Lepisosteus oculatus: one gene and its partner. The protein of the gene in region 1 purifies or fractionates together with the protein of each later gene. This does not show direct contact. Links are inferred from orthologs where the notes say so. Each region holds a gene or a part of one and is shown on either strand. Other genes may lie near its edges.

The links. The genes of interacting proteins can lie anywhere in the genome.
Region 2: the proteins of arpc5b (region 1) and actr3b purify together in Homo sapiens (affinity purification with mass spectrometry; 5 studies listed by BioGRID and IntAct, counting the BioPlex papers as one, with this or other methods). This does not show direct contact. The link is inferred for Lepisosteus oculatus from reciprocal best matches to the Homo sapiens genes ARPC5 and ACTR3B.

What each region holds. Positions count from the first base shown.
Region 1 is NC_090704.1:8,352,240-8,359,111, reverse strand, and holds the start of arpc5b (actin-related protein 2/3 complex subunit 5b), read left to right. Parts: upstream 1-3,855; 5' UTR 3,856-4,016; coding exon 4,017-4,157; intron 4,158-5,846; coding exon 5,847-5,918; intron 5,919-6,344; coding exon 6,345-6,521; intron 6,522-6,712; coding exon 6,713-6,775; 3' UTR 6,776-6,872. UniProt on the Homo sapiens protein: Component of the Arp2/3 complex, a multiprotein complex that mediates actin polymerization upon stimulation by nucleation-promoting factor (NPF).
Region 2 is NC_090701.1:10,983,817-10,991,590, forward strand, and holds the start of actr3b (actin-related protein 3B), read left to right. Parts: upstream 1-4,772; 5' UTR 4,773-4,933; coding exon 4,934-4,977; intron 4,978-7,375; coding exon 7,376-7,431; intron 7,432-7,774. UniProt on the Homo sapiens protein: Plays a role in the organization of the actin cytoskeleton.

The DNA of each region.
Region 1 (6,872 bases):
AATTTTACTGCCTAAAAACCATTACCAAAATTGTCAACAATCCAGAGTGTCAAAAACATTAATGTCTAAAAGCAAGGCGTTATTAAGTTGCTTACAAATGTTGTGCAACTGCACAGAGTCTCGGTACAATCTTCACTCGACGCCGTATACAAGGGCTTTATTGGATAACTGCCTCCGACACAGACACTGCATTATCTTTCCTCTAGTCTCACCGCTCGCTGCATGTTTTTTTTCACTATAGAAAACGAAACAATCGCTATTGCATATTCTTCACCCTTATTTTGTAGATTCGTCGTATGTAAATTCAAATTTCAAAGCCAAAATCGGTTCGCACGACAAAGAAAATTTTTAATGGACTCTTTTGGACAAATCCTGTTCGAAAAAACTGCCATTGATTTGGTAGCTAAACGTTGCATTGCATTGTCTGTATTATTCTTTTTTTGTTAATTTAATTTTCATATTACGTTTAATCCAAAAATTAAAAAAAGTAAAGGTATTTTTACCTTTAAAGATTTGTGCTGTCCGTTCTAATTTGCAATTAATACATCCTAAGAGAAAGTAGTACTGTATTTCAGTTTCTCCTGCACAAACGTCATCTAAAAAAACACGTGTGCTGATGTAATGTTACTTCTGTCAAAAAAAATACTGCTTTTCCTACAGCTGAAAGTCACATAAATCAAAGATTTCTTTGAAGATTTTGATTTTATAGATACAGAGATGCTTTCATAGACAAAGTAATTCCTTTATTTTGATGCTTATGGAGGTTATGGTGAGATTATTTAGAATTTATGTTAGTGAAATGTTATCCTTTGCTTGTAGGCTCCTCAGTGATAAACAGGAAAGAATGTTTCATTATACAAAGTTCAGTGCATGGAAACAGGCACACTGTTGTTCCTAAAGAGTGGAGTTACAGTATGCCCAGGTTTGCATACAAATATGCAAACTGAACCACAAGCTTAACAACACATGTGGTAGAAGCTCTGTAAATGTGTGTATGGTAGTTTGAGGTTATTTTCTTCAGACCTTTTTCTTAACACTGGGAAGATTGAATATTGCGGTTTGCATAAGACTCATGTTCAAAATCTTCACACAATTGCATGTTGTGGGTGAAAGCTCTTCAGTCACTCAGCTTCCACATGTGAGAGAAGAGAAGCATAATAAGGCACTTGGTACTTGAGATGAGTCATCAGTATATACAGTAGATTGCAAATTAAAGATTTCAGTCCTAAAATCCAGAATCCAGTAGGATTTCTAGGTCTTTTTAAAACATCAATGGATGAAGAACCTTTTTAAAAGAGTTAATGGCCCCATTAAGCTAACAGTTCAATTATGACCCTGAAGGATTGTAGTTATGCTCCACTGTACAAAACTAACTCAAGGACTTCACCACTTCTTTTATAAAAGGATCCGTTTTTTTTTGCCCTGTTGTAGTGTGTGACATAAGCGTGACACAGAATCGCAAAGAAATGTGTTTTTTTTCTGGTAGTATTTTTGCTGTGTTTTAGATGCCTCCATTCAGGGTAAAAAAAAATGTTAAAAAAGAAGGAGGAAGAGACTTCTTCTTTTAGGTTTGGTTGCAAAACGTCAGCATAAACAAAATGCTTGTGATTCATAGACCACAAAAAGTGGAAGAAGGCATCAGAGCCAGGCAGACCGAGCCTGAGCTCATGGTCATACTGTAGGTCACCATTTTAATCCTTAATTTCTACATACCTTACAGTTTTAGCAAGTCAATTTGTTCAATTAATTCCAGTAGATATTAAGACCTACAGGGTGTGGACATACTTTTTTGTGATCTCGAATACTTTAAATAATAATAACAATAATTAACAACACTTCCTTATGCTTCTGGACACTCCACTCAAAGCACTTTACAGGTAATGGGGACTCCCCTCCACCACCACTGATGTGTAGCCCCCACCTGGATGATGCGATGGCAGCCAGTGTGCACCAGTTCACTCCATACATCAGCTATCATTAGGGAGGAGAGCAGAGTAGTGAATTGATTCACAATTCATAGATGGGGATTATTAGGTGGCCATGATTTGGCAAAGGCCAGGGAAATTTGGCTAGGATGCCTGGGATAACACATTATGTCTCATCTGAAGGAGAGTGCCTTTTTTACAATATCACTACAGGGGCATTAGGACCCACACAGAAACCAGGGTGAGACTCCCTGCTGGCCCCACTAACACCTCTTCCAGCTGCAAGCTCAGTTTTCCCAGGAGGCCTTCCATTCAGTTACTGGCCAGACTCACACCTGCTTTGCTTCAGTGGGTTTTACCCCAATATTTCCCTTGATTATCCACTTTTATTTGCTTCTGTGGTCAAAATGAGATTGTTCCAAGTGTATGACGATTCAATGTTAACTCATAAAATCTTCTGGGGGTTAGGCTACTATCTTAATGTCAGAGTGCAATTTGTTTCACTCTATGCTAGCACTTTTAATTTTTTTTACAGTTTTGTTCCTGTTGTTAATATTAATTATCCGGGGACTGTTTTTTCCCACAAAAGCACCAGTAAATCTGCTCTAGCGTGTGAATTAAAATAATTGCATGCAACAAGTGAGCAGACAACATACATATAAAGTTCAGATTCAGGTCGAATGACTTCCTTAAAGATAGCGCAGTTTTAAAGCGTCCGTGTATTATTAAGCAACAGCTACACCAAGTGGAACTTATTAGAAAAACACATATATTAGTATTTATGTGTGGAATATGTAATGGAATTCTCTAACCAGATCCTAGAGACCCATATACAGTACCTGCCGGTTTTTGTTCAAGACGAGTTGTCAGTTACACCATTGAATTTTAATAACAAGGATTAATTTGATGTGACTGTATTCAGATGTCCGACCTACTGGAGGTAGCCTTTTAACGATTGCACTTCCTCATCAAATCCCAAGCTCTTTCGTTAAAAACAAATACTTGCAAATGTTCCAATCAACCAGTTTCTTAGATCCAGGAAGGCTTAAGCTCAGCTGGCGTGAAAACCAGCAGATGTTTGGGCCTTCTCAACCAGAATTGGGAATCCTGGCAGTAAGATTTATAATTTGCCTGAATTGAGAGCAACTATTCTGGGATTTCATTCAAGATCGGTTTAACACAATTGAACTATTATCTTAATTGGAGCAGTTCCCAGGTACTACAGTGCTGCCAATTTAAACAGACCTGTAAATCCTGCAGTATTCTATACTTCCAGGGGTTGGGCAAACCGACCCTAAAACAGCAGTTCACCAGTCCTGGAGGCCCACTGAACTGTTGTCTTTTGTTCTGATGATTTAAAATAATAATAATTCTTTCCACTTATCCAGTGCTTCTGTGGACACTCCGCTCAAAGCACTTCACAGATAATGGGGATCCCCTCCACCACCACCAATGTGTAGCCCCACCTGACGTGATGGCAGCGTTAGTGCTCCAGTAAGCTCACCACACACCAGCAAGTGAGGAGGAAACAGAATAAAGGACCGGGTTCATAGATGGGGATTATTAGGAGGCCATGGTTGAGGAAGGGGGGAAAAGCTTTTTGAAAGCACCCTGGGATTTTTAATAACCAATACAGTGTCCCAATTGCTATATTGGGATAATAGGACTCACACAGGCCGCAGGGTAACCACTCCTTACTGGCCCCACTAACACCTTTTCCAGGAGCAATCTTAGCTTTCCCAAGAGGTCTCCCATCCAGGTACTGGCCAGGCTCACACCTCTTTGCAATGACGGGAAAACCTGTAAACTTATCATCAGTTAGGAATCAGCCTTCCGTGCTTGAGGGATACTGGCTGCTACTGTACCTTCTGAGCAGTTTCAGGTACTGTGGTGCACTTCCCTAAGAGAACTGCAGAGGGCGCCGCATTGCGGAAGTGAATGGATGGCTGACTGAGAGGAAGGAAGCAGGAGCTCCGTGAGGATTCCTCCAAATCAGACCAGCTGAAGGCCGGGTTTGTCGTTCACGCTAGTGCGGCGTTTTCACTGCGGGTGGAAGGATAGTTGAGACTTTGCAAAGAAGCGCAAGTCGCCATGTCGAAAAACACCGTGTCCGACCGTTTCAGGAAGGTAGACGTGGACGAGTACGACGAGAACAAGTTTGTAGACGAGGAGGATGGTGGAGAGAATCAGCTGGGTCCCGACGAAGGGGAAGTGGACTCTTTAATTAGACAATATCCTTTAAAAAAGGGTTTTATTTTTTTTTTACTGTAAATATAATCAGATTGGCTGCACGGGTTACAAATGTAAATTTCTGTTTTAATCATGCTGTGAAGTTAGGAATGATTTGATCGGTGCACCGTCAGTTGTCTGCAGCTCACACCGATTTGCAATTTCATGGGTGTGGTGGGAGTTAGTCATTGTGAACTTTACGTTCTTTTTCTACGTGTGTTTTGGCACCGTATTACTGAGGTGTCCTATCTGCTACGTTCTGCACAAAAGAGCAAAAAGCTGTAGGAAGCGGGGGATGATGTAGAAATAACGGAAAGCAAAGTACGACTTTCAAACCAAATTGGGGAATGAATGGCACGCAAGTCGTGGTTGAGTCGTTTCAAAGCGAGAATCGTATTTGCAATTACATTTTATTGTTTCAACGACGTTAGTATGACCTCGACTGCCACTTGAGTCTATCAGCAGAAATGGGCCATGTTTAATAATAATTTAATTTTTGCACAATGTGAAATGTCCCCGAGGGCGAGGTCTGTGCACGCAAGCCGATACATAACACTTTCTTGTCTCTTCTTCATATGGCTGTAGTTTGCTGATACACGGGAGTCTTGTAAATGCAGTTTAATCATTTACGCGGTATGCGAATGTAGAGATCTGTACATCGGTATTTATCATTACACAGTTGCTTTACCTGTCTGTAATTTCAGAATGGGCTGGCTTCAGACCTGTATCTTTGTCATTACAATCTCTTTCACCACTAATTATAAGTTTGGTGAAAGCGAGCTCACAGCTTCTTGACATGGTCAGATATTATTTCATTAGGGATCGTTTTGTACGGGTTTTGAAGAAGCGAAAAATGCCTCAGTGATCATTTTGGAAGGTGGTGAATATGAGTGATAAAATAAACCCTGTACAGTTGCCCCCATTTTTGGAATATAATTAAATATTTCAGCAGTTGATTGAGAAGTGAGTTGTACAATTTGCTGTATATAGCTATTGCAGCACAAAAGAGGTTTACTCCTGTGCACAGCACTGCAATTTAGTATGTCTGGGCTTGTCTGTGCTGAAGGTATTTTATTCTTGCATTCCAGGGAGCAGCGCAGTGTGACTTTCTCTCAAGAAAAAAAAACACGAGAAATTATTGCCCAATTTAGAAGATGCGGCATTAAGTACACTAAATAATGTTATCGCCAGGTTTATAAGAATTGTCCCAGTAGCTATAGCGATACTGATACGTCACGATGGGAAGTTGTGTTAATGCCATATATGTCAGTAATTTCTCTACCACACTAGTTCCTGTTTCTGCGCTTCAGTTATGATTTGCAAAAGTGTAGCTGAGGCCTAGTCTTTACAGAAAGTAAAGCCAACAGTAATTGAATGAACACCATAGAAGCGTGCATTCCACATATTAATGTATTCACAGTCTCCTCCTCCTTTATTTTCCTTTCCAACAGGGAAAAAAAAAATAAAAAATGTTTGTCGTTGAAAAAGATATTTTCCACGCACCTAGTTTAACGTAACACAGTAACGAAAATGACAACTGAGTAATATACAATTCTATTGGATGCGTTAACAGTAAAACGTGTGTAATTGTTTTTTTTACATTTGTCATTAGGAAATATTATACATCTTTAAGGGTGGGATATTGTATTGCTGCTGTGTGCATGCATTTTTTCCTTCACATCCTTCTGCACAGGGAATCTGATGGGGGCCCTACAAGCTGTCCTTAAAAACCCACCAATCAACACAAAGAACCAAAATGTCAAGGCAAGTTCTTATTTTTTGCGGCTCCTCTTGTTATTATGCCCTGACCTGACCATTATGACCTGAGAATTTGATCATGAAAGTATTTTGCTTGTATTTGCTTTGAGAAGGCCCATTAGTTTAACTTTTAAAGCATAAGAGAATAAGGGACAATAATGTTCTGTTTGAAAATTCCTAGTCAGGTTATTGAAACTAGTTAAGAGAAAAGGTTGCCAACACTGATATAACTACAGTTTCTTACCAAGTTGCCTTGGTTTTATCAAAACTGGTATTTTTCGTACCAAAAATGGCTCGCATTTCCCAGTTCGATTTTGTTTTGGCACTCGTGCACTTTATATCAAATGAGTTCGTCATGAATCAGTGTTTGTTCATGTTGGCGTTGTGGCTGAGGTAGTGTTGCAGCCTCATCCCTAATTCTGCTGTCTCCAGGATCGGGCGGAAGGCCTGGTTCTTAAAGTGCTGAGCGCGTTCAAGACCGGCGACATAGAGAAAGCCGTCCAGTCCTTGGATAAGAATGGAGTGGATCTCCTCATGAAGTACATCTACAAGGGCTTTGAGAATCCCTCAGAAAACAGCAGCGCGGTGTTGCTGCAGTGGCATGAAAAGGTTAGTACCTGTTGTCTCACCTGTTTCCCTCTGTTTCCGAACATCCGTTTTCCGGAAACTCTTTATGATGAATTCTTTCACAACAACAGGTTTAACAAGTACTTGTGGGGTTCAACTGAAAAGCCGGTTGGATTTCGGTATTAACTCCCAAAGGTTAGCTTGACCTTAAGATTTCCCTGTTTCTGTTCTAGGCTTTATCTGCTGGTGGTGTGGGCTCCATTGTTCGAGTGTTAACTGCCAGGAAAACCGTTTAATGGAGACTCGGGACAGCTCTGCTTTACAGAGGGATTTGCTGGTACAAAAACCAAGAGTTGTTTCACAGGGCACTGTGGAGTACTCCTTCCTTTTGGT
Region 2 (7,774 bases), on another chromosome or scaffold:
GATAGGCTCCAGCTCCCCCTTGATCCTGTATTGGACAGTTTGAAACAGAAAATGGATGGGTGTATAATATTGCCAGAGTAATATAACCATGTGTACTTCATACATACAACATAATATCCAATGTTATGTTATTATTCATAATGTAGTTGGCTTGACAAACATCCTTGTGTTATAAATCATTCTCTGAATTTAGTGCTGTGGTGCTTTTGCATGACTTCAATGTGAACTTAATTAGTTGAGTTTGCAATGTGATGGTTAGGCTTAAATGGATTGGTGGCTTTTATCTGGTACAGGTAAGAACGAAGAGATTATTAAAATGATAAATGCAGAACAGCACAATGAAAGTAAGTGAATAGTGCAGAGAAAATACAGAAGTGAATACTTGAAACTCCAAAGGTTATTAAACAGTTTCATTAATAGAAACGGAACCGATTGTTCAAAGTGTGTCAAACTTAGCACAAATGCAGCCCATGAAATGCTTGGGCACCAAAGTGGAGTTGTTACACATGTAGGGGCAGTAGCTCCACTAGCAAGTTTTGGATATTGATTACACGTGTTTGGTGTCAATTTGATTAATTGATCATTCAATTTGATTCATTGATTGTGGTACACTGGAGAGACTTTGATTGTTTTAAGCACTAAATCACTTCATTAGTGAGAAGGTTGATTAGGCACAAGTGATGAGGTGATTTAATGCCAAGCCGAATGATCTGGTAATTGAGGCGTACAACAGAGCAGTCGATGTGGAAGTTCTGTAGGTTCGTTAGAAGTCTGTAATGGCTCTATTGAGTATTTATGGGATGAAAAAAATACTCCTTTGCACTATCACTTTTTGTCTGTAGAGTGTGTGGTTTTCAAGATCACAACATACTGCTCACATTCTCCACGATCGAGCACGGAAAAATGTGGTAAATGTGGTAAAATCATTAAAATCATTAAAATAACCTTGTCTACTTCACAATTACACTGCCCACAGAAACAATAGTGAATGTAAAATAGTGCGCTTTACTTATAGTGTGAAAGAACGTTATTCAAAACATAAAACAAAACAAAGCTCACCTGAGCACTAACCGAAATCTCTTTGAATCCCTCAGTATAATTAGAAAGTGGGTTAGCTACACTGTCTACTGGCATGAATCAGTTTCCACTCATTTTTGGTTTCTTTTGTTTTCTTGGTCTCTTTAGTTTAACCCCTTTTCACACTGATGCAGCACATTCAGCAAATTCTCTGTTTGGTGATGGCAGATGTGGAACTATGCAAGTTCCCACTTTACGATGCTTAAATTGTCACTAGACCAGTTTAATTTAACCAGCGGGGCAGATGACAGCAGTGTCATTCCTTGCAAACTTCTGGGGAATGTAATCCAGTTAATATTGCCCTTCTACAACATGTATGTACTGTATAAATACTGTATGTACAGCTTTATCCAACATGGAAAGTCATACATAAGAAAACTTAAAAGGAATCTGACCCTGTCTTGCCTACTATGTAAATGCTGTGATGTCCTTTATAATGTTAGAAGAGTTTTAGCATAGGAGCCCAACAAAGTTGTTTGTATATACTGTATATGTATCTGCAATATAATACAATAATAATGTTTCAAACTTCTCTGATTATAATATACATACAGGTAGGGAAAATGCACTAATTAATTATTAACTTATCAGTCACCAATGTTTTGAAATTCAAAAGCATCTGAGTGTGTATGGGTTGCATGCTAATCTTACATCTGAAGAAAGTTTCATAATGGGGCACCAGATAATTTTTTTACTCAATTGTAGACTTTAATGAACCATTCAGGATTTTTAGCTCTCAGAGCTACTATAAATATTAGTGTTTTGCAGAACTTGTCTTTACTTGAAAGTCCTGTTTGGCAGGGGCTGGGAAAGAGAGTGATAAAGATGTTTTGAGAATTGAAACAAAAACAGTTACACAGAAAACATGGATACTTTATTGGGTCACTAAACATCTGATAAAACATATCTTTTAAAAAAAGTGACACGTTTTAAAGTGGTTCAATAACAAGAAAGGTATATAAAAGCATAAATCTTTCCAGTGACATACAACAGATATCGACATGATGTTTCAGTGGATTTATAATTTTTTTTCTGTTCAGGAGTCTTTATAAAGGAGGTCTACTGGGATCTGTCGATTTCATAAAAGTTGAATGAGATTTTTTTAAACAAAATTAATTTACTGGTTAATGTCATGATACATTTTACTGTATTATGATACATTACTTCAATACTTAGCTGTTATGAATCATTGGAATTTTGTAGATGTAGTTTATCCTATGTTACTTTGGACAAATGTTTTCATAGGAGCAGTTTTGAGGTAAATAGCATTTCTGACCATTCTTTAAATGTAAGAACATTACAGGTTCTGCACAATTGTCCCATTTCTCAAACAAAGTGCAGTGTGATTTAGCAGACAGGACCTACTGTAATACTAACCCATTACTTTGATATAAACAACAATAATGAAAGTATGATATGATCAATTCTTTAAAAAAAATTGTCAGAAGGGCCTAAGATTAAAATATTTTAATTCTACATGTATCAAATCATCCATTGATTTTCTAACTGCTTTATCCAATATACTGTACAGCATCGAGGGAGAACCAAAGCCTACAAGTAAAATCAGTAGTTATAAAAATAAACTAAAACGTCATTTAATAACAAGTCTTGTGTAGACTGCAGATTACAATACCAATTTTAATATTAAGATGTTTCTTTTTTAATACAGCAAGAATAGGTTCTGCAACAGTAATTTTGGTAGCATCCCCATCTAGTGGTGAATCATGACAGTTGTCATTGAATATTGAAGAATTTAGCTTAAACTATTGCTGTATAAAAACAAATTAAACAACAGTGTTGAAAATAGGCAGTCAGTGTCAGTGGTGAAGCCAAATTTTAGAGCCTAGGAGTCCAAAATGCAATGCATATGGAGATAACAGGAGAAAGCTGTATTATTCTTGATCCCTACAGCCACAAATAGTCTGTGTGCACCAATGTGCTTGGGAGGTTTGTGTTGGCTAGTTATGAATTTACTGTTATATTCATTGTGGCAGGCAAGATTAAACGACTGAAAATTCTGCTGATTGTGTGATTCTGTGATCCTCAGCTCTGGAATATACTGTAAATGTCAATCTATAAAGCTGATGGGTTTCTTTAAGCCATTGTTATTATTTTTTTACTTTTGGAAGGGCCTTATATAAATGATTTAAGTAGAGCTGAGTTGGGTAAAATTAGCAAACCCATTCACAGTTTTACTTAAAAGTTAAATTTTTTACATGTAAAAATATGAAATATGTACATATGATTTATTTTTCCAAAAGGTCATGAGCTTGTGGTTCATTAAAAATATATATCTGGAGCGTTTAGAGCCAACAAAGAAAGACCAAATATTTTATATTATAGGATGGTCTGTCCAGAAAAAAGGCAACTATATTTTCTGATAATGTATTTGAAATTCAATTTATGAGAAGACATACAATTTCACCACATCTCTCACACACAATAAAAATGTAGACGACTACAGATGTAAATGAATTCCTTCTCAGATTTACAATGGTTATATCTGTTCAGGGTTGCGGGAAAGGTGTAATCCTTCACCCACCTCCAAACCTTCTGTATATATTTAATTGCTTCCAATTTTGTGACCTGAAAAAATACAGTACAGACTAAATATATTACTCATTCACATCCTGTGAGTGTGCCAAGTTCAATAAAACAATAACACATGTGAGGTAAGCAACATTTCAAATTAACTCCTGTCATAACCTGAGTTTTCCAGGAGATGAATAATGTAAAAAAATATACACCAGCCCTTTGCACCATTGAAATCTGCATACTTGTTCATACAGTATTTAGTTAGAAGCCTGCAAACCTTAGATGGCTCAGAAATCACCCATTTTGAATTATATGGATTTTTTTTACATTTAGCACTTTTAAAAATGGCATGTCTGAATGAATTATCTTTGTTTTGAGCCCATATCTTTGTTTTTTCCATACACAATAGTTGCTCTTATACAACAAACACTAATTTTGCTATTATAAATCTGTGTCTTGTTTTCATAGCAGGCACCTCATACTGTATAAAGCCCTGTTCAGTGCCTGTGCAAATAAAAGCGGAAATTATAAAATAAAAATACAACGACAGTATTTTCTCACGGTTGTCACCCCCTAAAAATTGCAATTCCAATAGCATTAGACAATCTGACTTACAAATTGTTTTATCATACGTGTCGACTGACACCCACTGCTGTTGACAAGATACAAGAAAAGCTTTTCTGAACAATGTGCTTTTTTTTTTGCAATCCTACACCCTTAGTGCCTGCCCATACTGTATCTTGAAACTAAACTTTTAACTTCACTGTGTGACTATAAACGCCGTGACTGTGCTGTATTTTGCAATTTAAACATTTCTTCTTAGTATTGCACTGTAACTATGCCTACAGACATCCAAGTACATAATGTTCAATGTACAGTATTAACTAAATCGCCACGGAAAAACTAAACGAACTAAACACATGGAGCAAATAAACACGTCACGGTCCAAGCACGTACTACTCTTTCACAACAATATGAAGCTGATTTATAGATGCTAGGTATTAAAATTTTAGAACTAAAAAGAAATAACGTGTTTGATTGTCTATGCAGCTACAGCATGATCCCAAGCAGGCCATACCCGTTGCCATAGGGACAGCTCTCCCTGTTTGTTTCGGATTAATATCCAGGAACGACTCCATGTTTTCCACCTTTGACTCGGGAAGTATTCATGCTGTCAGCATTACGGAGGAGTAACGGTACATGGGGGTAATCTGGCATTGCAGTGTCCTGTAGTACGGTTTCCTTAATTTAGAAGTCAAAATACATATTTTGTTATTTATTCATGTTACAGTAAAACAGGGATATTTGTCTAACCCAAGCAATGGCTGTGCATTTACCTCCTTGCGTTATTGACTGTGGAACTGGGTGAGCTAGCGATTGTATTTAATTTTTGTTTTTTAATGATCAGTTTACTTATTGCACATACTTAAAATTGAACAAACACCTCTACGGCACACGTACTACATAAACACGTTTTACACTGAGGTTTTCTTAATGAGTGTTGTCTAAAATGACGGTCACTGACATTTCTTTTGGTTATTATAGTGTCATTACACGGGTGCACGTCGTTTAATGACAGGTGCGGATTGCTGTCATTAAACGATTTATTATATTTAATAATTTTTTACTTGTGTAAAAACTAGGTTTTGTCATAATGAAATTGTTGTCAAGCTTGTTTTCAAATACACTATCTTAAATTAACAGTGGGGACCTGTAGAATAGAAATGACACTCGTTTATGGTAGATAGTAATCGATTATGCATATAGTGTACAGTAGTGTGTTAGCTTTTTACAAACCATGGATACTCCGTTATACAGAAGGTCTGTGGATTACAAGGCTAACAGGTTAAAGTTAAACTTGACATTTATCACATTGTAGGGAAAGACAAGAATAAATGCTATTTTTGGACGCATATATCATAATATGATAATCTTGCCTGTGGTTTGAATTACATTATCAACTTGTTCTATATACCAAGTAAAATATGAAAATAAATAATAGCTATTATTGTATGGTAGCTATGATACTGAGGGTAAAATAATTCACATACAAATGTTAACACTTTTGTACTGCAGTTGTAAATTTAAACAACAATTAAATTGGTATACAATGGTAGAAAAATAATATATCTAAAGCAAAGTAATCACCAAATATTGCTAAATGAATTCTGAATATGAAATATCTCTGAAATACTTAAGTAGTACTTTTGTATATAATCTTGGGCTCAGCTTTTCTCACAATAATAGTGGTCATATTTTGTTTGTTCAGGTTTAACTAAAGTGGCACAAATAAATGAAATTCAAAATAAAAGGTTTAGTGTTTTTAATACCGTATGCACATCTGTTGATAGGCCTATATACTGTACTGTATGGCCCCCTTTCTTTGCAAAATTAAGATATTTTACAGTCTGTGCGTGGCTCAGATTCTGTAATAGTGATTGGTACTTTTTTTTTGTAACATAAAATGTTCTAAAAGTTCAACACAGCATTTAGCTGAGAACTGATTTTACCCTTTTCATTTATGATTTCGTGGAGGGATGGGTAATATTTACCATACAAAATGAAAAAGTGGAAACATGAAATTCAGGTTTCTAATCTGCTTCCCTGTTGATGAAATGTCTCTAAAATGGGTGTGTCATTTGTCATGGACTGGGCCATATCATTAGTTTGCTGTGACTGAGATTCCTTAAAGTCACAACTTTAAGCGGAACACAATTCACCAGGTATTGCAGAGATTGGTAGGTTTGGGACAGCTGGGTTATTGTAGCATATTAGTGACCACAGTGACGATCTGGGTGCCTTTGAGTTTACAGTGGTTTTAGCCTCATCTTTCCTCCATTCTATGCAAATGGTGTTGTAGGAACTTCAGAGCCTCAGAACTCCAACGGTGCATCCCTGAGAGGAAAACACGGTCACTACTCAATCTTAATGTGTTGATTAGTAGGCTGTAATCAACTGTGAAAGCTGACTACTGTAGATGTAGCAGTTTGGGATTCTAGACAGTGGCAAGGGGACTTATCAAACATGTACTGTACAGTATGTTAACCTCTATGTCCTTTGATGTATTATCCTTTTCAAACCTCATGTCTGTAACAAAAGAAATATTTTATGTAGCTGGTTATGTCATATTTTTAAAAGACTGTATCTGTGTATATCTTTGGTTGCAATGAATAATCGGTCAAGATTTTTGGATACTGCATAAACTTTCAGATGGGTGCATTATTTTCCTAACGTTGTTAGTGTATCGTAAGGGAATTAGAATGTTAAATTTGCACTACAGTATCTTGTTAGTGCATTGGTAGGCCTCCGTATTTAAATGTAAAAAGACCTGAAAACTTGTAATTATCATGACATATATTGATGAGGAATGGAGAAGTTTCAATTTTGATGTTCTTTAGTACATTTCATCGTATTGATCAAGGCTGCTTACAAATTTGAGTTTAGTCATGCAAGTGATGTTCATTTTGTCTCTAAGAACTACAACATTTTCTTTCCATTAAAGTATATGATATTGGTTTTTGTATTTCTCACATTTAGGCTTACAACACAGACAATGCAATGAACAGATGAACAGGTGCTTGTGAAATACAAATTGCTTTCTGTTGGCACCACTTTAAATCACTGAATTTGACAAACAGGCATTTGCAATAATAATGCAGAATTATATATTTGGGTCTCACTCAATGCAGGCCTATATTTTGTGTTTTTCAAAGGGGTTTTAAACAAAAATAAAACTAACACTAAGTCTGCTCTGTACCTACAGATACACAAAGATTGGCTATGCTGGGAATACTGAACCACAGTTCATCATACCTTCATGTGAGTATTAATTAAGCAGTTAAGGCCATGAAAATATAGCCAGCTTTTATAGTACTGAGTACTGAGATTCAAAGGAAACAACTGCAACAGATTCTCAAAGTTATTATTAGGAAAATAACCTTCTGCTTTGTAGCATTTTCTGAAAACACACACATATGGAGTGTTACATTTCTTTTGATGCTCAGTACACAGTGATACACTTTCTTACATTAGGTCAAAAACTATGATGTAGAAAAAGCAGTTGAATAATACTCCAAGAAATAACTAGGTGGTGCACAAAAATCGAATGTACATTATTTAAAAAACACAAATAGGTGCATTATGAAAAAAGTCATAATTTCTT